Linked DNA regions of Astyanax mexicanus. The protein of the gene in region 1 binds, or shares a complex with, the protein of each later gene. Links are inferred from orthologs where the notes say so. Each region holds a gene or a part of one and is shown on either strand. Other genes may lie near its edges. The genes, in order: etfb, etfa and acadm.

The links.
Region 2: the proteins of etfb (region 1) and etfa are in contact, whole or in part, in a crystal structure (PDB 2A1U), measured with the Homo sapiens proteins. The link is inferred for Astyanax mexicanus from reciprocal best matches to the Homo sapiens genes ETFB and ETFA. Residues at the interface, in NP_001976.1 of Homo sapiens: Ile14, Tyr16, Val18, Ile20, Val22, Val29, Thr31, Phe41, Leu102, Arg106, Lys124, Gln125, Ile127, Asp128, Asp129, Asp130, Cys131, Asn132, Gln133, Gln136, Met137, Ala139, Gly140, Phe141, Asp143, Trp144, Pro145, Gln146, Thr148, Phe149; in NP_000117.1 of Homo sapiens: Glu27, Leu88, Pro89, Glu90, Ser113, Ala114, Phe115, Lys117, Asn118, Pro121, Arg122, Ala124, Ala125, Lys126, Glu128, Val129, Ala130, Pro131, Ile132, Ser133, Arg146, Thr147, Ile148, Tyr149, Ala150, Gly151, Asn152, Ala153, Leu154, Cys155.
Region 3: the proteins of etfb (region 1) and acadm are in contact, whole or in part, in a crystal structure (PDB 2A1T), measured with the Homo sapiens proteins. The link is inferred for Astyanax mexicanus from reciprocal best matches to the Homo sapiens genes ETFB and ACADM. Residues at the interface, in NP_001976.1 of Homo sapiens: Glu73, Arg76, Thr77, Tyr192, Ala193, Thr194, Leu195, Pro196, Ile198, Met199, Lys202; in NP_000007.1 of Homo sapiens: Glu43, Gln44, Lys46, Glu47, Phe48, Thr51, Lys54, Phe55, Glu58, Glu59, Arg80, Glu83, Leu84, Gly85, Leu86, Leu98, Leu100, Ile108.

The regions. Positions count from the first base shown.
Region 1 is NC_064408.1:120,899,013-120,906,171, forward strand, and holds the start of etfb (electron transfer flavoprotein subunit beta), read left to right. Parts: upstream 1-4,061; 5' UTR 4,062-4,141; coding exon 4,142-4,195; intron 4,196-7,125; coding exon 7,126-7,159. Other genes in the region: upstream stimulatory factor 2, read right to left, coding at 2,304-2,341. UniProt on the Homo sapiens protein: Heterodimeric electron transfer flavoprotein that accepts electrons from several mitochondrial dehydrogenases, including acyl-CoA dehydrogenases, glutaryl-CoA and sarcosine dehydrogenase.
Region 2 is NC_064409.1:55,938,031-55,945,939, forward strand, and holds the start of etfa (electron transfer flavoprotein subunit alpha, mitochondrial), read left to right. Parts: upstream 1-4,807; 5' UTR 4,808-4,893; coding exon 4,894-4,932; intron 4,933-7,909. UniProt on the Homo sapiens protein: Heterodimeric electron transfer flavoprotein that accepts electrons from several mitochondrial dehydrogenases, including acyl-CoA dehydrogenases, glutaryl-CoA and sarcosine dehydrogenase.
Region 3 is NC_064425.1:41,682,536-41,689,805, forward strand, and holds the start of acadm (medium-chain specific acyl-CoA dehydrogenase, mitochondrial), read left to right. Parts: upstream 1-4,170; 5' UTR 4,171-4,281; coding exon 4,282-4,299; intron 4,300-5,893; coding exon 5,894-5,996; intron 5,997-6,096; coding exon 6,097-6,194; intron 6,195-6,413; coding exon 6,414-6,483; intron 6,484-7,046; coding exon 7,047-7,147; intron 7,148-7,270. Other genes in the region: E3 ubiquitin-protein ligase HECTD3, read right to left, coding at 638-988. UniProt on the Homo sapiens protein: Medium-chain specific acyl-CoA dehydrogenase is one of the acyl-CoA dehydrogenases that catalyze the first step of mitochondrial fatty acid beta-oxidation, an aerobic process breaking down fatty acids into acetyl-CoA and allowing the production of energy from fats.

The DNA.
Region 1 (7,159 bases):
TAATAAACATTGCTTCATTTGTAAATTTGAAACTAAACAAATTTTCTACTCATATCTTGAGTTTAATTCATTTTCTTTTACATTTTATTAAAAAACTAATAAAAAAAGAGTAGCACTTTTTAAAAGAAACATAAGAAAGGTAAAGAGCAAATATTAACCATGTAAGCTGTTTATATTGCTTGCAATTTAGGTGAAGCAAGCATGTGTAAAGCATTTTAATGTAAAATTGCTTAATTTTGCTGAATTAAATACAAGTAACAAAGTAAACGAGTAACAAAAATATGAACACCACACAAGGGTTAATACATAATTACTGTTTATCTTGCTGAATTTACCACATCTAGTGGACATCTGGCATCTAGCATGACCAGCATCACCAAGTTAGTGGAAAGTTTAGTGGACACACTGGTGTAAAAGCTATTAGACTGAACACAACACTGAATTTAGCACTAAATATAGAGCACTAAATACACACTGAATAGGAACTAAACACAGACTGAATACAGAATGAATACATATTTAATACAGACTGAATACAGCACTGAATACAGACTGAATACAGACTGACTACAGTAGTGAATAAAGTCAGAAAATATGAATACAGACTGAATACAGTAGTGAATGTGGAGTGAATTCAGCACTAAATATAGACTGAATTCAGCACTAAATATAGAATGAATACATCACTAAAAACAAACTGAATTCAGCAATGACTATAGACTGAATAGACTAAATACATACTGAATAAAGACTAATTACACATAGGATACAAACCGAATACATCACTAAAAAAAGGAACTGAATGCAGATTGAATGCAGTAGCAAATACAAACTGAATACAGACTAAATACTGACTAACTACACATACAAATACAGACTTAATGCACTAGTAAATACAGACTGAATAAAGACTAAATACAGACTGAATACAGACTGAATACATCAACGAATACAGACTGAATGAAGACTAAATACAGATGGAATACAGACTGAATACTTCAATGAACACAGACTGAATACAAATTAAAAACAGCACTGTATATAGACTGATTACAGACTAAATACAAATTGAACACACTAAATGCAGAATAAATACAGACTAACTACACCTTGAATAGATACTGAATACAGACTAATTACACAGAAAATACAGACTGAATACAGACTAATTACACATAAAATACAGACTGAATACAGACTAATTACACATAGAATACAGACTCAATACAGTCTAAATACAGACTGAAAAAGACTAATAACACATAGAATACAGACTGAATACAGATTAATAACATAGAATACAGACTGAATACAGATTAATAACACATAGAATACAGACTGAATACAGACTAAATACAGACTGAATACAGACTAATTACACATATAATACAGACTAAATACAGATTAATAACACATAGAACACATATTGAATACATCACTGAATACAGACTGAATAGAGAGTGAATACAGGCTTATTACACATAGAATACAAACTGAATACAGACTAATTACAGACTAAATACAGTCTAATTACACATAGAATACAGACTGAATACAGACTAATTACACATAGAATACAGACTAAATACAGACTAATTACACATAGAATACAGACTGAATACAGACTAATTACACATAGAATACAGACTGAATACAGACTAATTACACATAGAATACAGACTGAATACAGACTAATTACATAGAATACAGACTGAATACAGACTAATTACACGTAGAATACAAACTTAATACAGACTGAATACAGACTAATTACACATAGAATACAAACTTAATACAGACTGAATACAGACTAATTACACATAGAATACAGACTGAATACAGACTGAATACAGACTAATTGCACATAGAATACAGACTGAATACAGACTAATTACACATAGAATACAACCTTAATACAGACTGAATACAGACTAATTACACATAGAATACAACCTTAATACAGACTGAATACAGACTAATTACACATAGAATACAACCTTAATACAGACTGAATACAGACTGAATACAGACTAATTACACATAGAATACAGACTATATTAAGACAGTGAATACATCACTGAATACAGACCAAATAAAGACATTAAATAAAGAGTGAATGCAGTAGTGAATACAGACTGAATACAGACTAAATAAAGACATTAAATAAAGAGTGAATGCAGTAGTGAATACAGACTGAATACAGACTACATAAAGACATTAAATAAAGAGTGAATTCAGCAGTAAATACAGACAGTACAGACACTGAGCTGTTCTGTAATCATCACTCTGAACAGAGGATTTACCTCACTAAAGTTTCCAGATTCCGCTCCAACACCTCCATCTGCCTCCAGCTCCAGCAGAGTTAGAGAGAGAGAGAGAGAGAGAGAGAGAGAGAGAGAGAGAGAGAGAGAGTGTGTGTGTGTGTGTGAAAGTGAGAGCTGATCACGGGAACAAACACTTGGGTCACGTGACAAGGCGTGGCCAGACTAATAAGAGGGCAGGGTTTAATTTTAAATCAATACATTTACTAAGTAATGAATATATAAGATAAAATAAGTGTAAAGTAATATATATGTGCACATTGTTTATTTTATATATAGATAAATTATATTGGAATAATCTATAGAAATGGGGAAAAGTTTTTTAATGCTTTTTTAAGTTTTAAATTTATTATTAGATTATTAGTTTCGACTTATTTTATGTATTGCTTTTATTACAAAAAAACAGCAATTCTAAATTAAATATATGTACACATACAAAAGAATCCCATGAACAATTTAATTAAATACATCAAAGTTAAATAAGCATTTTAGCGTGTTGTAATTAGTTTGTATTTATCAGTGTTGTGAACAGATGATCTAGAGTAGAGTCTCTGTAATTCTCACTAAGCCCAGCTGGTGGCGCCATTCCCTCATTTTACTGCTGTTCATACAGTTTTATTATTGCTTTACATTCCAGCTTTGGTGACGTGATAGTAAACACGTGTAAATGTAAATGTTTTTTTTTTATATAAAAATAAATAATAATAATGATAATAATAATAATAATAATACAATTATAAAAATGAAATAAAATAATTAACTAAGATCATAAGAACGAAAATACAACAATTAAAAGTTATGAAAAAATGTGATCAGAAACTATAAGTTTAAAATGGTTAAGTGACCGTAAGTGAGCTGAGCTTTAGAGTGGTGGGTGGCTGTATAACATTAAGTTATATTAAATTATTTTTACTTTATTGTTTTTTTATGTTTTGTTGTTTTTAGGGATATATATATATATATATATATATATATATATATATATATACATACATGCAGTTCTGGAAAAAAAATAAGAGAGCACTTAAAAATGACTAGTTTCTTTGATTTTACCAAATTGAAAACCTCTGGAATATAATCAAGAGGAAGATGGATGATCACAAACCATCAAATCACCAAACTGAACTGCTTGAATTTTTGCACCAGGAGTGTAAAGCATGAAGTTATCCAAAAGCAGTGTGTAAGACTGGTGGAGGAGAACATGATGCCAAGATGCATGTTTAAAACTGTGATCAAAAACCAGGGTTATTCCACCAAACATTGATTTCTGAAGTCTTAAATCTTACTGAATAGGAACTTGTTTTCTTGTTTTTTTCTTTGTATTATTTGAGGTCTGAAAGCTCTGCATCTTTTTTTTTTGTTATTTCAGCCATTTCTCATTTTCTGCAGATAAATGCTCTAAATGACAATATTTTTTATTTGGAATTTGGGAGAAATGTCTGTAGTTTATGGAATAAAACAACAATGTTCATTTTACTTAAAATATACCTACACACAGCAAAATAGACTGTTATATACAGTTATATATAGAGCATGGTATTGGTAAATGATTATTATTAGGTCAGAGTCAGTCAGTCACTTTAATTTAACCTTTAACCCACTTTCTCAGAGCTTTGTTTCAGTCAGAGCGCGCATGCGGGGAACACATGCGATAACCGGCTGCTGCCAGCTCGCTAGCTGATTGGCTGGGCTGCGCTGGTTCTGTAATATGATTGGCTGGAGGGGCAGGCGTGCTCGGCTGGTCCCGCCCCGCGGTGTCACAGCGATAAGGCTCCGGCTGCTGGTGGTTAGCTGTTAGCTGTTAGCCGTTAGCCGCAGCGATGGCAGCGCGGGTTCTGGTCGGGGTGAAGCGGGTCATCGACTACGCCGTGAAGGTAAGAGCCCGGTCGGTCCCCGGGGGTCTCAGCGCGGGGGCGGAGCGCGGGTTTACCGGGGGTTTAATGCGGGGGTTCAGGGGGAGTTAGCCGCTGAAACAGGTTTACACTCACACACCAAGGTCAGCACGGAGCGACAGACAGTTTACTGTCAGATAGACAGGTTTAAACTACACTAAACTCACTCTCAAATACCCTAAATACTCTTCTCATTCATCTGATTACTGAAAACCCACAACTGATTAATTTATTCAGGCCTTAAATCTCAACCTGACTCATTCATACTTCACTTCTGTCTGTCTGTCTGTCTGTCTGTCTGTCTGTTTGTCTGTCTCCTACCTACATACTGAGCTGTATAGCTATCTATCTAGCTAGCTATCTGTATGTCTGTCTCCCTGTCTTCCTACCTACTGAGCTGGCTGTCTGTCTGTTCTTCTATTTACAACAAATAAATATATCTACTTTTTCTGTCTGTCTGTCTCTCTGTCTGTCTCCCTGTCTTACTACCTACTGAGCTGTATAGCTCTGTCTGTCTGTCTGTCCACCTATTTACAGCAAATAAGTAGACCTACATTTTTCTGTCTCCCTGACTCCCTACCTAGTGAGCTAGCTGTCTGTCTGTCCTCCTATTCACAGAACATAAATAGATCTTCTTTTTATATTTGTCTGTCTCCCTGTCTACCTACCAACTAAGCTAGCTGTCTGTCCATCCACCTATTTACAGCACATAAATAAATCTCCTTTTTCTTCTGTCTAACTGCCTACCAAGCTAGCTGTCTGTCTGTCCACCTATTTACAGCACATAAATAGATCTCCTTTTTCTTCTATCTACCTGTCTACCTACCTACTAAGCCAGCTGTCTGTCTGTCCACCTATTTACAGCACATAAATAGATCTCCTTTTTCTTCTGTCTGTATTTTGCATTCATTTGTAATGCATTCTGATGTTTAGCTTCCATATGAAGCTTATTACTATTACTACTACTACTACACTACTACACTACTACTACTAACCTTCAGAATACATAAGGGCATTTAGGGTCACTGGGGAACAGGCAGACTGTCTACTGAGATTCCCTTTGGCAGCTGCTCCGTGCTCCTTTTTATAAATCACATTAAAACACCCATTCAAGTTAAATAAATTAATTAGAAGCAACCAAATTGAATTTATATGCACTGCACAGCACTACTATGTACCTATACGAACAGCAGACTAGAAGGTCTGAGAGGTTACTACAAACTAACTAACTAAATAGTGTTATCTGAATAGCACCTGATAATAAAATTTCTTCATGATGAACAGTCCGGACCCTTGCACTATAGCTGTATTGATTGATTGTTTTTTTCCAGGCCAGGATCAGATCTCTCCTGTTTGATCTGGATCCTGTCAGCTGATGAAGTGTATTGTATAGTAGTCTGACCTGAGACGATTTCTGCCCTCTTCCTCTCAAACTGTTCACCACCTACTCACCAATTAACACACTCAATCACGAGAAAGCGAGAGAGCGAGAGCCAGTCTGGACCCTCGACCAAGCAGCAGTGTTGGGTCTGACTGTTGGCAGGAATGTTATTCAAACTGTGGACTTCCTTCTGCACTTTCTTATGCACTTCCACAATTCCATACTTTCTTCCTTCCGCACTTTTTTCCCTCTGCACTTCCAAACTTCCTTTATTTCATACTTGCACACTTTCTTCCACACTTTCATCCTTCTGCACTTTATTTCCCCTTTTCCGTCCTTCTGCGCTTCCTTTCTTCCTTCCTTCTTTCTGCACTTTCCTTCTTTCTTCTTTCTGCACTTTCCTTCTTTCTTCTTTCTGCACCTTCTTCCTTCCTTCCTTTCTTCGACACTACCTTCCTTTATTCCTTCTTTCTGCACATTTTTCCTTCCTTCTTTCGGCACCTTCCTTCTTTCTGCACCTTCTTCCTTCCTTCCTTCCTACTTTCGGCACCTTTTTCCTTCCTTCTTTCTGCACCTTCTTTCTTCCTTACTTTTGCACCTTCTTCTTTCCTTACTGTCTTTCGCACTAACTCCCTCCCTTCCTTCTTTCTGCATCTTCTTCCTTCCTTCCTACTTTCGGCACCTTTTTCCTTCCTTCTTTCTGCACCTTCTTTCTTCCTTACTTTTGCACCTTCTTCTTTCCTTACTGTCTTTCGCACTAACTCCCTCCCTTCCTTCTTTCTGCATCTTCTTCCTTCCTTCCTTCCTACTTTCGGCACCTTTTTCCTTCCTTCTTTCTGCACCTTCTTTCTTCCTTACTTTTGCACCTTCTTCTTTCCTTACTGTCTTTCGCACTAACTCCCTCCCTTCCTTCTTTCTGCATCTTCTTCCTTTCTTCTTCCCTCCTTCTTTCTGCACCTTCTTCCTTCCTTCCTTTCTTCGACACTACCTTCCTTTATTCCTTCTTTCTGCACATTTTTCCTTCCTTCTTTCGGCACCTTCCTTCTTTCCTTCTTTCTGCACCTTCTTCCTTCCTTCCTTCCTTCCTACTTTCGGCACCTTTTTCCTTCCTTCTTTCTGCACCTTCTTTCTTCCTTACTTTTGCACCTTCTTCTTTCCTTACTGTCTTTCACACTAACTCCCTCCCTTCCTTCTTTCTGCATCTTCTTCCTTTCTTCTTCCGTTCTTCTTTCTGCACCCTCTTCCTTCCTTACTTTTGCACTTTCTTCCTTCCTCACTTCCTTTCACACAAGCTTCCTTCAGTAGTTTCTCCTTTTCTTCCGCATATCCTTCCTTTCTTCCTTCTGCATCTCCTTCCTTCCAAAATCAAGTTGCCCAGAACTGCACCTGGCGGCCAAAACAGCTCAGAAAAAGCTAGCTTGCCATTGTTGTCTTCATAATAAAAGTCCCAGGGCAGATCGTAACTTAAAAAAAAAAATATATATATATATATACACACACTTATTTTACTCTTTCAATCTCTCTCTGTCAGATCCGAGTGAAGCCTGATAACACTGGAGTGGTCA
Region 2 (7,909 bases), on another chromosome or scaffold:
CTTATTTAATTATAAAATATCTAATTCCTTCTCAAAATCATCTAGAGATGCTCGAATAAAAAAGAGATCGAATATGCACATATCTAACAGCTTGAACATTTTAGACGCTCTTAAATTCTCCGCTTTTTAAAATAAAAAATATGTATTTAATTCCTTCTGTCCAAACTTGGCAGTGGCTGAGCTCTGGAGCAGAGCCCCCTGCTGGACACACAATCACATCACACACTCCTCCTCTCCAGCCTTTACACATCGCGTCGCATTTTCACATTGTGCATTCTCAGTTTAAACCTTTATTCAGATCAGAATAAAGCAGAAAATAAACAGATTTGAAATTTAAATTTCTCTCTAAATCTCTAATTCTAATCTAATTTAATCTAATTATCTAATCTAATTTATCAGAACGGAAAAGACTGTTACACTTCTCTGACACTTTCATCACACTGTTCTTTAAATGAACATCTTAAAAGAACAATATAATTTACATTTTTTCCTGTAAATGATCTTTAGTTCATTTACACTACATACAGTTACATACAGACCCAGTTTTACTGATTTACTCTCTGTCTCTGATTAAACGCGTGGAAGCGAACCTTCGTTCCCTCAATATTTGAACTGTTTAAAGTCTGTATTTACATCGCTCATCATTTTTATTATTTGTACAATTATTTCCTCCACAATCCACACATGAATTATTTGGACATTAGAAGCGGACCTGTGGGGATTTGTAAAGAAACTGCGTTTGAGTTAAGTTTCCTGATTTATTTGTACGGATTATTTTTTCAAGATGTTTCCAGAACGGGCAGAGGGTCGCTCTTCCTTTAGCGTGCTCTTCAACCTGACCTTTAACACCGACCCTAACTCAGATCAATCCCATCTATAATCTCCACCACAGCGTGTCTCATTACATTAGAGAATATCTTCTTTCTTTTTTTTTTTACACACAAACAAAAAAGATACATACAAAAAATAAAATAAAATTTTGTCGCCTAAAAAATGATTTTATGCATTCTTACAATAAAATAAAAAGTCTTCTAACAAAGCAAATGTGCTGCAAATGGTTTGATTTGATACATGCTATAGAATAATCACTTTTGGCTCAATAATGAACCATGCTTGTAAAAGTTAAGTTTAAAAAAGCTTTTAAATCGTAAAGAACCATTACGAGCCATATTTTTTTTTGAAATATGTATTTTTTAAGATGATCTATCTGTCTGTCTATCTATCTATCTATCTATCTATCTATCTATCTATCTATCTATCTATCTATCTATCTATCTATCTATCTATCTATCTTGTATGTTCTATAGTCAATAATATTTAGAGACGCTGCAAAACACTAAGCTTAAAAGACAAAAACTTTAAATGTTGAACTAAAAACGTACAGATCTTTTATTTTATTTTTTCGTCAACAATCAGAAGAGAAAAGACCCAAAAATACAAAATATTAAAAAAATTGAAACTACTCCTTTACAAATGATAAAAAAGAGGCAAACCAGCGAGGGAACGAAAACGGAATGTTACTCTTAACAAATCTCTTCTGAAAGTGGAGGACAAGACCACTGCCGCGTATGGGTGTGAGCATGAGTGAGTGAGTGAGAGAGGGAGGAACAGAGGGTGGGAGAGAGATGTCTTTTAAAACAAGCCTAACTCACCCCGCCCTCTCAAATCCAATCAAAGCCGCTCAGATCTCCAGCACTCTCACCTCTAATGTTTCTGAAGACTGAGCTTATAGTGTGACTCTGTACTGAACCGCGAAACAAGCTCAGCCCACAACAACCTGAGATCAAAACAACCTTTTACAATCAGGCTCTTCAATTATTCACTTTCACGCTTCTCCGTTTGAAATAGTATATGATGTTGTGTATAATTAGTTAATATGAATGTATATAATGTAATGTAATATAAATCAGAGGAAATCAATAGCAGAGGAAATGGGCTTGCCATGAAAAAGAAAAGTAACTAAATCGTTTTGAACATTTGCATTAAAATAAAAAAAAAAAACGTGGAATTTAGGTAGAGAGTCAGAAAAACACTCCTGAGATATTCCCTGTCATGTAAGGGGTATATTTCTAAAAAAATATATATAAAAATAAAAGGAATTTATTTCCTTTTGCTAAAAGACCTACAGCTATTTAGAGTACAACTACCAAACAGTCTCCCAATCTCTCTTTATATCTAAGAATTATACAGACTGTTTTTTATGAGCTCTGTTTTGATTTGCTATATTTAAAAAGTGAAACAAAACAGTCTGGTCTAAAAGTAAAAGGCAGTTGCAATCTTGTGGAAAAAATTACATATTTTGATTTTTTGTATTTAACATAGGAAAAATAAATGTATGCAATTTATTTTTCTTATTGTACATGTTAAATTGTGCTACTAAACAACAGTTATGCTTAAGCCAGAACTGTGTTCATGGCTGTAGGCTTATTTAGAATTTAAAGAAATATATAAATAGTACCAGTCAACTTGTACACATCCTCATTCAATGTATTTTCTATATTATAGATTCTTATTAAAATATTGAAAACAATAAAGGGACACATATGGAATTACTTTGAAAACAAAAAAGTGTTTGTCCTCCACAATCCTCTGACCTAAACCCCACTGAGATGGGTGATTTGAGGTGATTTGTGATGAGCTGGAATTTCACAGCGTGAAGGAAATGCTGCAACTATTGTTCAGCACCTCCAGGAATTCCTTTAAGATGCTGAGAAAACTATTCCAGGTGACTCTACATCACGAAGACACAGATTAACCACACTGTAAAAAGTGTAGCCCTGCTCAAATTAAAAAAATTGATGTCCATTTGTTGCATCTAAACTATTTGACTTCACTCAATCTAAATAAAGTCAATTGTTACAACCTGATTATTTTATTTTGACATAAACCATATTACTTCACTCGACCCAATATTAATTATTCACCTTGATCCAAGTTAAATTCTTTACATTTCAGTTTCGGAACCAAACTAATACATTTAAATTGATCCGAACTTTTAAAAAAAACATGGCAGCATATTCAGAAGTTCCAGAAGTTACTGTGGCGTGGAAGAGGACGGCTTACCAGCGAGATTCGTTTCAGTGCTCTCTTGCTCTTTTTATTTTGCTCTGAGGAGGACACTAAGAGCTGGATTTACATGGGATTCCACTTTTGAAAGTGAAACTAACTACAGCTCCAACGCAGCTAACCCCACTCCCACACACAGAAAACACACAAAGGGTGAGGCACTTACACAAAACAACCACATAACTGATAACTACATGAATAATACTAGAACAGTGATAATAAAACATGACATGAAACTCTGGGATAAACAGTAACATAAACACGCAGAAAAACACCCACTCCCCCCAACAGGGTGAGCTCCCATAATTCCTTCCGCCCCCCCTCCAGTCCCGACGCCACAATACCATAAGCATGCGTTGCTATCTCGCGAGCGCGTTCAGGCACTTTCTCCCTCTCTCATTCTCTCTCTCGCGAGCGCGTTCAGGCACTTTCTCCCTCTCTCATTCTCTCTCTCGCGAGCGCGTTCAGGCACTTTCTCCCTCTCTCATTCTCTCTCTCGCGAGCGCGTTCAGGCACTTTCTCCCTCTCTCCCTCAGTGCTCTGAAGCACTTCTCTACAACTTCTCCCGTGCTCCACAGTGCGCATGCGCAATTCATGTTTGATTCAAATTAAAAATATTACATCCTTATCTCTTTTCTTCGAGTATGATTTCAGTGGAACCAAAACATTTGGTTTATTTCCTTCAGAATTGTAATTAATTTAGTCTGAATCAAAATTGACACATCAAAATTCAAAAAGGTTGAGTTTCACAATAAAGTCAATAATTGTACTATGTGTTCAATCATATTTATTAGCTTGAATGAACAGCTCCATGCTTCACTTTTTACAGTGCAAGAGTGTTCAGATCGGTCCTCAAAAATCTAAAGTATAAAACATATTCTGTATTATTTAACTCTTTTTGTTTACAAAATAATTCCGATGGTGTTCCTGTGTAGCTTGAAATTTTACAAAATCATAAAAAAGAAGTGTGTCCAAACCTTTAACTGGTACTGTTGTAAAAACGTATATATAAAAAGAGGTGCACAACTGACTTTACATGAGAAAAATAAGTGGGTAGTTGAACATTATTTATTATTATTATTAATAATAATAATAATAATAATAATAATAATAATAATAATAATAATAAGAAGAAGAAACAAGAAGAACAATAAGAAAAAAAGAAGAAAAATCTTTTTTCCTCACATATCGCACACTGTTGAAAGGTAAGTCACAATCTTATAAATACTGTAACAGTGTTTACATACTACATTATTATTTAATAAAGATAAGCTATTCACCGTTCTATTAATATTATTTATTAAGTAAGCACACTTGACAGAACCATTAAATAAAATCACAAAAAAAGTATTCGATGAAACTTAATTAAAACATGTTAGCTACATTTCAAAAAGGCGAAAGTTTAGGCATAGACCCTAAGCTAAGAGAAAACGTGTCTTTGTCTAATCAAGGAGAAATCATACATTAAAAACGCTTCTCATGTTAAATGCAGGTATAAATGAAAGAAAACGTGACTGCAGTAAGGAGCTGGTGAACTGTTCTGTAGAGCATTGAACTGATCACTTTATCGATTTACTGCAGTTATTCAGTAATTCGCTGGAACTAAATCCCCCGCTGGATGGAAACCTGCTCCGCGGTCTTCAGCTGATCCTCACTGAACTCGTACAGCGGCGGCAGCAGCACTGAGCTCGGGTGGGCGGTCCTCTCCGGCGGATATGAGGTGCGGCCGGGTCTCGGAGCTCAGAGTTAACTCTCGCGATATCGCGGCCCTGTGAGCTCTGCGGTTCAGTCCTGCAGTAGAGTGGAGGAGCTGCTGCTGCTGTAATCATGCTCAAAGCTGTCAACAAGACAAACCTCAGGACTCTGGTAAGAATTAAACACTCTGTACAAAGAGTAGAGTGGTCGCTCAAGTCGCTTTGCGTTAATTTGGAGGAAGACATGCATAAATACAAAGAATTATGTAGATTAATATAAAGCTAACGTAGCTCACTAGCTCACTAGAGGTGAGTAACCAAGGTCCAAAAAGTAAAAATCCACCCCAGGCTTTTGTACCAACTGCGTGCGTGGCTCTGCTGCAGCTCAGCTTCTTTATCAAAACGTTGGTAGAGAGTTACCAAGAGAGTTGGTAAGAAACCCTGGGATGGATTTGATTTTCTGGACCTGGGTTACCCACCTTTACTCTGGACCTGCATTTGTCTAACTTAACTAGCCCGCTAGCTACTAACTGTAAAAGTGTAACCAACCAGTTTCTTTAACTTCTGTCCTCTGCAGAGGTGAGCTAGCTAGCGTTAGCTAGTTTCGTTCTTCTACGTTAGCTAGGTTAGCTAACTGGCTAACAGGCTGGCTGGTTTTTAGGCTAAATTAGCTGAGTTAGCCGTTAGCCTCGTTTCAAGGTTATGCAGTTGACAGATTTTACGTTACGAAATCTCACACTGACGCTGTTAGATAATTAGAAGTATTTTGAAGTTTCTTTAATTATAATTAAGGCCTACCTGTCCATATGTGACTGTTCTTAGCTCGTTTTGTCATCGTGTGTCTAAGGACAAATCTGTGTTTGTTGTTTTGAAACGAGGTAACGTCAAGTCAAGGCAAGTAGTTTTATTGTCAACACTGCATATTTACTTAAAGGATATAGAGAGGATTGATTAGGATTCTCTCCTCCCTGAAGTTACAGCAAGTACAGCAAAATAAGATGATTATAAATATAAAAGAAACACTACGTGTACAATACAACAAGAAAAAAAAAATCACGGACATTTAAATCACTGTTTTTATTAAGTGTAACTTAGTGAACTGGTGACACAGGGCTTCTGCTTTTAACAAGCAAGAGAGGTTTCTAAATTAATTGTGAAATTGAAAGTGTGAATGATAATTCAACAAAACTGGTGAAACCAGGGCAAAGGTTAAGGGTTCTTCTAAGGTGCAGCTACTCAAAATTCAGTTTTAAGATCTGTCAGCACAACTTTTGGTTCCTTATCTTATCACTATCAAAATGCTTTTTTTCTTAAAATGTTATCGTTAAAATTATTGGATGTTTTTTTATTTTATTTTAGCGTTTCTATTGACCCATTCCATATGCTTTTGTTGCAGTGTGAACTGACATATTTAAATTCTGTTACATTTTTATTAAGTAAAAGTATATGCCAGAAATTACTATACAGTGTTTATTGACATGACTAGATATACAGTTACATGTAGAGGCAGATAATGTTCACTGTTTACAGCCTTTCCAATAATATCATGGTAATTACATTACATTATAAACTTTTAGATAAGCTAGCTAGTAATAGTTGTGCAACTTTCCAGCCTCACCCTCATACCTAATTCTTTGTTTGTTTAGCTTGCACATTCCCAAACTATTGAACTGTACCTGTCTGAACTGCTGATAGATCTAGAAGCAGACAGATGTGCTATCTAATCAAATATTCTGCTGGAGTTATCTGTGTTTATTTCTGAAAATGTGTTTACCATCATTGGAGCTGTTTATTGGCAAGAATCTGGTGCATATCATGATGGAGGTGTTATGATATTTATAATGAGAATTTTTTAATCAAATTTCTGAAAACAACCCCAGTTTTTGTTGTATGACCAAAATATGCTTTACAGTATTTCTTTAAGACTTAGGCAGTTTAGCTGCATTTTTATTGATGTATTTATTGCATTGTATTGGTTAAAGTTCTCATTCCATTGTTTTTTTCATTCGTTTTAAAATGTCTAGTTGCGGTCTCTAGTATGAATGAATGCTATGTGAGCCAATTTTTTTGTGAAAAAAGTGCTCAGGTCAACTGTGGCTTATTTCACTAATACATGACCTTTTGTTAATAAAAAATAAGCAATAATGAACAATAAAAAATATATAATTTAATAATATTTTCAGACATTAGAAATGAATTATAAAAAGGTTAAAATACAATTAATGAAAGAAGATTAATACAATAGTGTTATGCTGGTCTGATGTTAAAATATTAAGTCACATTAATAGTCTCTCCCTGCTAAAAAAAAATAAATGAATAAAAAATAATGGGTAAAATTGAGATGAGCAAAAATGCTTGTAAAAATAATCTTGTTGGTTAGTTGTTGGTAGTTATTGTGACAAGCCAAGGTGAATGCTTTATTTCAGTGCAAGCAAAAACAGCCATGTCAGCATGTATGTGCAAGTCTAGCAACACATTAGAGCTAAACATTTGTGGTGTTGGTAATGTACCTAAATTCTGTGGTGATGAACATTTTCTGCAATTTTTATTTGCACAATTTAATTTAAATTTAAAGTATGTAAAACTTTTTAGGTAATCATAACAGTGGCATCTAAAGACTGAGTACAACGCGGCTATCTAGTGGTCGGGGTTTAAACACAACACTAAATAAACCATTGCATGCCTCCAGTCTTTGCTTGTAAACTATTAATTAAATATCCATATTAGGCCTGGACAATAATTCGATATCGGTATTTATCGCGATAAGAAATGTTTCAATAACGGTGATATCAGTTATCAGATATCTCGCCGCAGAGCTCAACACATTCAGCCCCCGTAGCTGGGCTACGTCAGTGCGTGATGACGTAACCACACAGGCACGTAGCCAAATAGGCTAGGCTAGGCAAGGCTAGGTTAAAATGGCTAGGCTCGGGTCCGCTTCGCTACGCAGCACATATGTCTCGCGCTGGAGCCAAACGGAGCCGGGACGAGCGGATCCAAGGCTAAGGTAGACTCGATTCGGTCGGCCCCGGAACCTCGAGGCCGGCCGCGGGTACTCGAGGCCGGCCGCGGGAACGCTCGCGGGTCCGCTCGCTCGGCCGCGGGTCCTCGAGACCGGCCGCGGGTCCGCTCCCTTGCCGCTTTGCTGC
Region 3 (7,270 bases), on another chromosome or scaffold:
GAGGGAGTAAATGAGTGGTGAGTAAATAAGCACTGAGTAAATGAATGGTGAGTAAATAAAAGTCGAGCAAATAAGGGTTGATTAAGGAGGGAGTAAATGAGTGGTGAGTAAATAAAGTCGAGCAAATAAGGGTTGATTAAGGAGGGAGTAAATGAGTGGTGAGTAAATAAGCACTGAGTAAATGAATGGTGAGTAAATAAAAGTCGAGCAAATAAGGGTTGATTAAGGAGGGAGTAAATGAGTGGTGAGTAAATAAGGACTGAGTAAATAAGAGTTAAGAAAATGAAAGTGGAGTAAATAAGAGTTTTGAGTAGATTTTATTAATTAAGTAAATGAGGGGTGAGTAAATAAAAGTTGAGGAAATAAGAGTTTGGAGTTTATTTTGAGAATTGAGTAAACGAGAGTCGAGTAAGTAAGAGTTTTAAGTAGATTTTAAGGGTTAAGTAAATTAGAATTGAGTAATTGAATGGTGAGTAAATAAGGACTGAGTAAATAAGAGTTGAGAAAATGAAAGTGGAGTAAATAAGAGTTTTGAGTAGATTTTATTGAAGTAAGTGGTGAGTAAATAAGGGTTGATTAAGGATTGAGTAAATGGGTAACTGAGTGGGTTCAGCTGCTGGTTCTGGTGGAGGTTTACCTTGCTGATTTTGACCCACAGGCCGTGGCTGTTGTAGTACTCCTCCCCGGAGGTTCGGATGCAGGTCCCCTTCTTGGGCTCGATGGTGCACCGGGCGGTCTTCCTGGTGGGCGGCTGGTTCGGGTGGTCCCAGACCGGAACCAGGGTCTTTCCTCCAGAGTTTCCAGCTGAAGAGGAGGCAGACGAGGACCCGGAGTTGCTGGACGAGTCCTTACAGATCTTATAGCACACCTCCCGCGGCACGAAGCACAGGCTCTCCGGGAGCGGCTCTCCGGTCCTGAAGCACTCGGTGCAGCGGTTCAGGAAGCGGATCCGCCCCAGCAGAGTGTGCGGGTTCTGCCCGGGAGACATGGCTCTCTCTCCGCTGCTGCTGCGCTTCGCTTTCGCTCCGCCAGCCCGAGTCTGGTAATGTCAACACGGAGTTAGAGATCAGTCAGAAAAGCGCTATTTATCCCTCCTTTCTCCTCTTTTCCTCCCCCTTTCTCTCCCCCGCTCTTCAGCGGGAATTCCAGAAACTTCTACCGAACAGAGGATCAGCGGAACCGCGGAAATCAGCGCTTATTCTCCCCCGGAACCGCGGAACATTCCAGGTAGCAGTTACTAAGCGTTAGCCCCACAGCTAGCATCTGTCACACCGGCTAACGAATCCCGATCCGACTCAGAGTCACCCGCGAATCGGCTTATCTAGACCGAGTCCTTAGAACAGAATCAGTGAGTGAATCGGAGCGATTCAGGTCATTTGTAAAATCAATGTAATTAAATAATCTGAGGAAATCTGTTGCCTTCATTTTTTTTAAAGTAATGTTATTTACAATTTAAACTATATTATAAACTTTAAAAACTATTTTATAAACCTGTAAACAAATTGTAAGTTAATACATATTTAAAGCAATGTAAATTATAATTAGTACTTAATTATAAACTTATTATGAACAATTTGTTAGTACATTTCTTTTTAAATTATAGTTAATTAAAGTAAATGAATGAAATTGATTTGTAATTAGTCAAGTTATTTTATTTAATATAAAAAAAACAAAATATCATTATTGGAATGTATAAAGTACTATAGAGCTAGACTTGAGTGAAAGTACAAGAGCTCTATATTAAAAAAAGTTTCATTGAATGGATAGTTGGTAAAGAATCGGTTCGTTTAACTGAACCCAACTCTTCTTCATTCACTGAAGTGAACCTGTAGGAGGAGCCTGCTACAAACCATTTCGGCCGGCAGGGGGCGCTGTAGGCGCTGGAGTGAGTGTGTGCTGACCTCTGCTGGTCATGTCTGTTACTGCAGCTACACCCCAACCTTACACAGCATATACACACTCGTACTGTACCTAAGGCTATGTTTACATTATCAGGCTGAAGTGACTCGAATCTGATTTTTTTGCTCAGTGTGGCTCAGATATGATTTTTTAATGGCTGTGTGAACGTGCCAAATCAGATTTGTTTTTTTAATCAGATTTGAGTCACTTTCATATGTGGTCCTAAACCGGATACGTATCGGATCCATGGACATGCGACATGAATGTGAACTGTCAATTCGGAATTCATGCATCTTTTTGCTTTATGCATTAGCATTAGCTCTACGTGCCTCTCTCTCGTACCCACACATCTCTTGAGCAGCTGTGCAGCTATAGCTGCAAAAACAGCAAAAGCAAACCACCTGATCTCTTTTTACCTCCTCGACATCAGATCAGCTGTTTACTCTCCACTCCAGCAAAAGATGTTTCACATATGAGCTGCTGACTCATCCATTTCCCTTTATAAAGCTAGGAAGCTCTCTCAAATATGATTTTTTTTTTTGTTGGTGGTGAAGAAGGCGACGTTTAAACAGGTATCAATTTGTGAATGTAAGCCGTTTCAGGGACAGCTTGTTCCCATTACACACAGATACTGATCACTTACATTTGTGAATGTGAACCGTCAGAATAGCCAAATCCGATCTGAGCAAAAGAAATCGGATTTGAGCAATGTGGCTTGTAATGTGAACGCAGCCTAAGACCCCTACATGAAAAACAGTGGGACCCCCCAAACCTACATGGACAGCAACTGATGGACAGGATGAAAAGTCTCATAAAATTAAAGTGAAGTATTTCTTACTTTACTTTGACTTTTATTTTAACCAAAAACAGTTGGGACACTAAAGCATTTACTTTACTTTACCTTGAAATGTTGCCATTTCTTCTCACAACAATTATATGATGTTTTGGCACTAATAACACTTAAAACTTTACTGTACACAACACAAGCCTTATTATGTTCACCATGACCTTTATCACCAACAACAAGCTCTACAATACAGAGTTACTATATTCACTAATACCACAGTGGAAAGTGTATTGTGCTCAAATGAGTCAGAATTGGAGTTTAAAAGGAGCTTCCAGACTGTTCTCAGCAACAAGTCCAAACGTCAGGGTCTGTTATTGCATGAGGGCGTATCAGTACACTTCTGTGATGCAACATTAAAGGTCCATTATTATTATAATATGAGTTAATGCACTTGCAGCTTTTGTCAGCAGAGCTTCACACAGTATTTTCTTATTTGAACTGTGTGGTATGTCACAGTGATCTATGGGGGATACCTCCTGAAACACTTCATCCCTTGCTATCCTTAGTGAATATAGTAACTCAGTAAAGAATATGTAAGAAACACTGCCTTTTTTATTATTTGCTTTTTCCATATGATTCCACAATTATGGATTTGGAGCTGTGAATCTTGAATCTTTATACATGTATAAAATGCTGCTTTACCTTTTTTACTAATGTGAATCACCAATGGTTACAAACATTTGTTGCATTTTTGTCATATTTTCTAAGATAGATGAGAAGATGAAGTGTGATATAAAGCTATCGCTTTCCTTTTTACATGGGAGAAGAACCTTTATTCAATTTTGGAGAGAACTAATGAAGAATCTGTTTCAAAATATCCATGTGTACCCATGAATATTCATAATTTTGAAAACAATTAATTTTATTCATATAAATTTAATGAAATTTTATGATTATGAATTGATGAACTGGTATTTCCTCATTTGTCTATTTATGAATAGTTTCATGGTTACCTGCATGTGTCAGTTGTTATAAAACTTGCCTAACTGCATTTTTGGTATTGTCCTAAAATACACAAGCTATTGTTTGTTGTCTATGGCCTTCCAATCAAAAATGACCCAGTATTATTATTATTAAAAAAGTAAAAGGTAAAAAGTAAAAAATATTTTCTTATATTCTAAAGGTTTACTCGTAAATACTCAATAATGAGCCTCACCCTCAAGCGCAGATATAATAGTCCTGCAGATTTGTCCATGTTAACACATGTAAAATTTCAGCACTATATAAATTATGTTTAATGTTTTAATTTAAATAACCTCTGAATTACACAACTATCAATGTAGGCCAGAATAAAACTGGGGCTAAGGTCACAGGGGGCGGAGCCGGATCAGAGCACGTGATCAAAGCCCCGTATTTGATTGGCTGGAAGTAAAGTAGTCGAAGAGAGCCGACGTCCCGGCACATGATCACGTGACAAACATCCTTGGCTGTGATTGGCTGTCTGCCTGGAGAGTCTTTTTGTAGGGCGAAGAGCACAGGACGCGACTCCCAAGGATCCGGATTTCTTATTACAATATAAACAAATACACAAAAAAATGCTGATTTTCAGAAAGGTAGAGTTTTATATATTTATTTCATTGCTTTTAAACAGATTCTGCAGCCTTTGCTTTGTGGTTAAGCTTAGTATAGTTTCGTTTCTACCGCCTTGTTTTTGCAAGAGTCCGTTCCACCTTAAATAGTGCAGCTGTTCTGGTCGAGTTTGGGGTTTATATTAAGGTGTTTTTGTGTTTAATTCGAATTATTGCAGATTTACGTCTGGTTTGTATTTCGTTATTGTCTTTAAAAATGGCTCACAACGATGAATAAACACATAGGTAGTCATATTACACTGTAAAGCAACATACGCCACAATGTGAGCACTCTATTTAAGGTGGACGGGAGAATGAGAGTAATAATGCTCGGTGTTTTGTTTAAATTGATGCACAGTTATTTATTATCTGTGAGTTATTGTTGTTATTAACCCATGAAAAAAACATAAATATTTCTGAATATGGATGCAAAATTCTAAATGAAATCAGATAAAATCATTGAGCTGCTCATGCACGTTTTTTAATTAATGTGGGCACATGACGGTATGTATTAAGTTAAAGTCCTTAACAACAATTTCAAATATATATATTTTTCAACATTCTGTTCTTCAAATCAGATCAGAACTGGTTACATGTTAAAATGTTTGAAACACAACTGTAGAATCAAAAATATACTTTTTAAAGGAGAGCTTAGTTATATCCTACAGCACTATCCCAACACATCTACATTCTGGAAATAAGGTCAGATAAACAAATACACACCCACACACTGTGCTGTGATGCTCTCAGGATGTTTAGTAGCCATATGTCGCTTAGGAACTTAATGACTCAAAGTGAAGGACAGGGTTAGACCTGTCACAGTAAGAATTTTTGTGTAGAAAAACATGATAAATTATTTACATTTGATGACTTGCACACCTCCGTTCTCCACTACACCGCTCCACACCTCTTTGTTAGAGCTCTGGCATTTAAAAGGAGGCTACTGATAATACAGTGAGGAGCAGCAGCAGGAGCTCCTCAGATAAAGTGCTGTTCTCATTTTTCTTCAGGCAGGACATCACTAGATGAGCTTTTGAATCAAGAGCTGAGCTAAGCTATGGTCACTCCAGTGTGTTAGCTTGTTATGCTAACTGGCTAGCATTAGCTAGTGAGCTGTATGTGCTTCTTTGGCTGTGTTTTTCTTCACAGAGCTGCATGTGAGGGACTGGGTTCTTTATTAGGCTGTAACAGAATTGCAGGATTAGTGTTGTAATAATACAGTCATTGAACTAGGGCTGCAGTGATGATGAGTTGGACTAATTGAAAATGTTAATTGAAAGAAAATAGGATTTTGTTTGAATTTCAGTGTCTACCACACAAATTGCTGTGGACAGAAACACATTGATGATTTGTTTAGGTAAATAATAATCGTTAATTAGTTAATTGATTGCAGAAATAACCTTCAGATTAGTCAGATACCAAAATGATTATTTGCAGACCTATGTTGAACTAAAATATGTTTTCTGGCGAACTCTGTGAGAGGAGTGACTCAATGTCTGAGTTTTTTGCAAACGTGATCTGGAATAAAACTATAGAGTGATTAATATTGAATTTTGTTGTATGTTCTGTGTGTGCGCAGGTTCTGCAGACAGGGGTTCAGACGGGTCTGCGGTTTCAGAGCAGTGGAGCTGCAGCTCGAGCGGCCAGTGCAGCGAAAACGTCACATGGAGGAATCTCCTTCGGTACGTGGACGGACTGCACAGCACGACTGGTCGACCCCTGTGAGTGTCTGTGTTTGGTAAATACAGTAGAATTAATTCTATTTTCTGTGATCATCAACAGAATTAACTGACCAGCAGAAGGAATTCCAGGAAACAGCCAGGAAGTTTGCACGAGAGGAGATCCTGCCGGTCGCTGGGGAGTACGACAAAAGTGGTGAAGTGAGTTTGTGAAATATGATCTTTGATTTTGTTTAGTTCCATTAAATGGGAGATGTAATGAAATGAAACGTTTTGGCCGAAACCAGACAAAATGAAAAAAAAAAATGGCCAAAACCTGAATACTAAATGATTTTCACTATTTTTTTAAGCTGTTTAGCTTTTATTAATATTCAAGTAGTAAATAATTCTGTGTTAATCCTCTCGTCTCCTCTGCTGCAGTATCCGGTTCCGCTAATCAGGAGGGCGTGGGAGCTCGGTCTGATCAACAGTCACATTCCTGAGGACTGCGGTACGTCTGTGTATATTGTAAATATGGTTTCTGTCCACTTTATCAGGCGACACCCTTTTTAACAGGCCTTTGCCTGTATACAGACTACAGGTGTAGATCCTATAAAACCCTTTTAAGCAGATTAAGCAGGTGTAAAAACAGTAATAGTACTCTGGTGTGGAACAAAACCACAGCAAAACTGCCAGAGGAGGAGGTCTTGGTCTGATCCCAAACGAACTCTGGAGAGGTTCGCTTGTGGTGAGAACAGAATCCGGTCTTGATCCGACGCAGCTATCAAATATACTCCTTTTATTTGAGCTAAACTGCTGATAAGGTGCAGTTTAATCTGATATATTAGCCAGATAATGTTAATTACCACAGCTATGAATAAGGACTGTCTTTGCTGCTCCATGCTGTTTACACTCGCAGTCTGTGCTGCATTCACTACTAAGTGCAGAGGCAAATTTTCAGGGTTCTGTATTAAAGCAGCTTCACACTGCACAGATATACCCGCTGGAACACAGAATCTAATAGAGCTCCAGATCAGTTCTGGTTGGTAACTGGTCATATGGTCTCTGTTTCAGGGGGACTGGGTCTGTCCAGTTTCGATGCTTGCCTGATCACAGAGGAGCTGGCCTACGGCTGCACAGGAGTCCAGACGGCTATTGAGGCCAACTCTCTGGGAGTAAGTGTTGAGTGTTTATCTGATCCGAGCTGCTCTGTTATTCTCCAGAATATTATTTAGCTGTAAAGAGCATCTGCAGCATTAACTATTCTATCTGTTTTAGTGGTTGTAAATATAGAAATC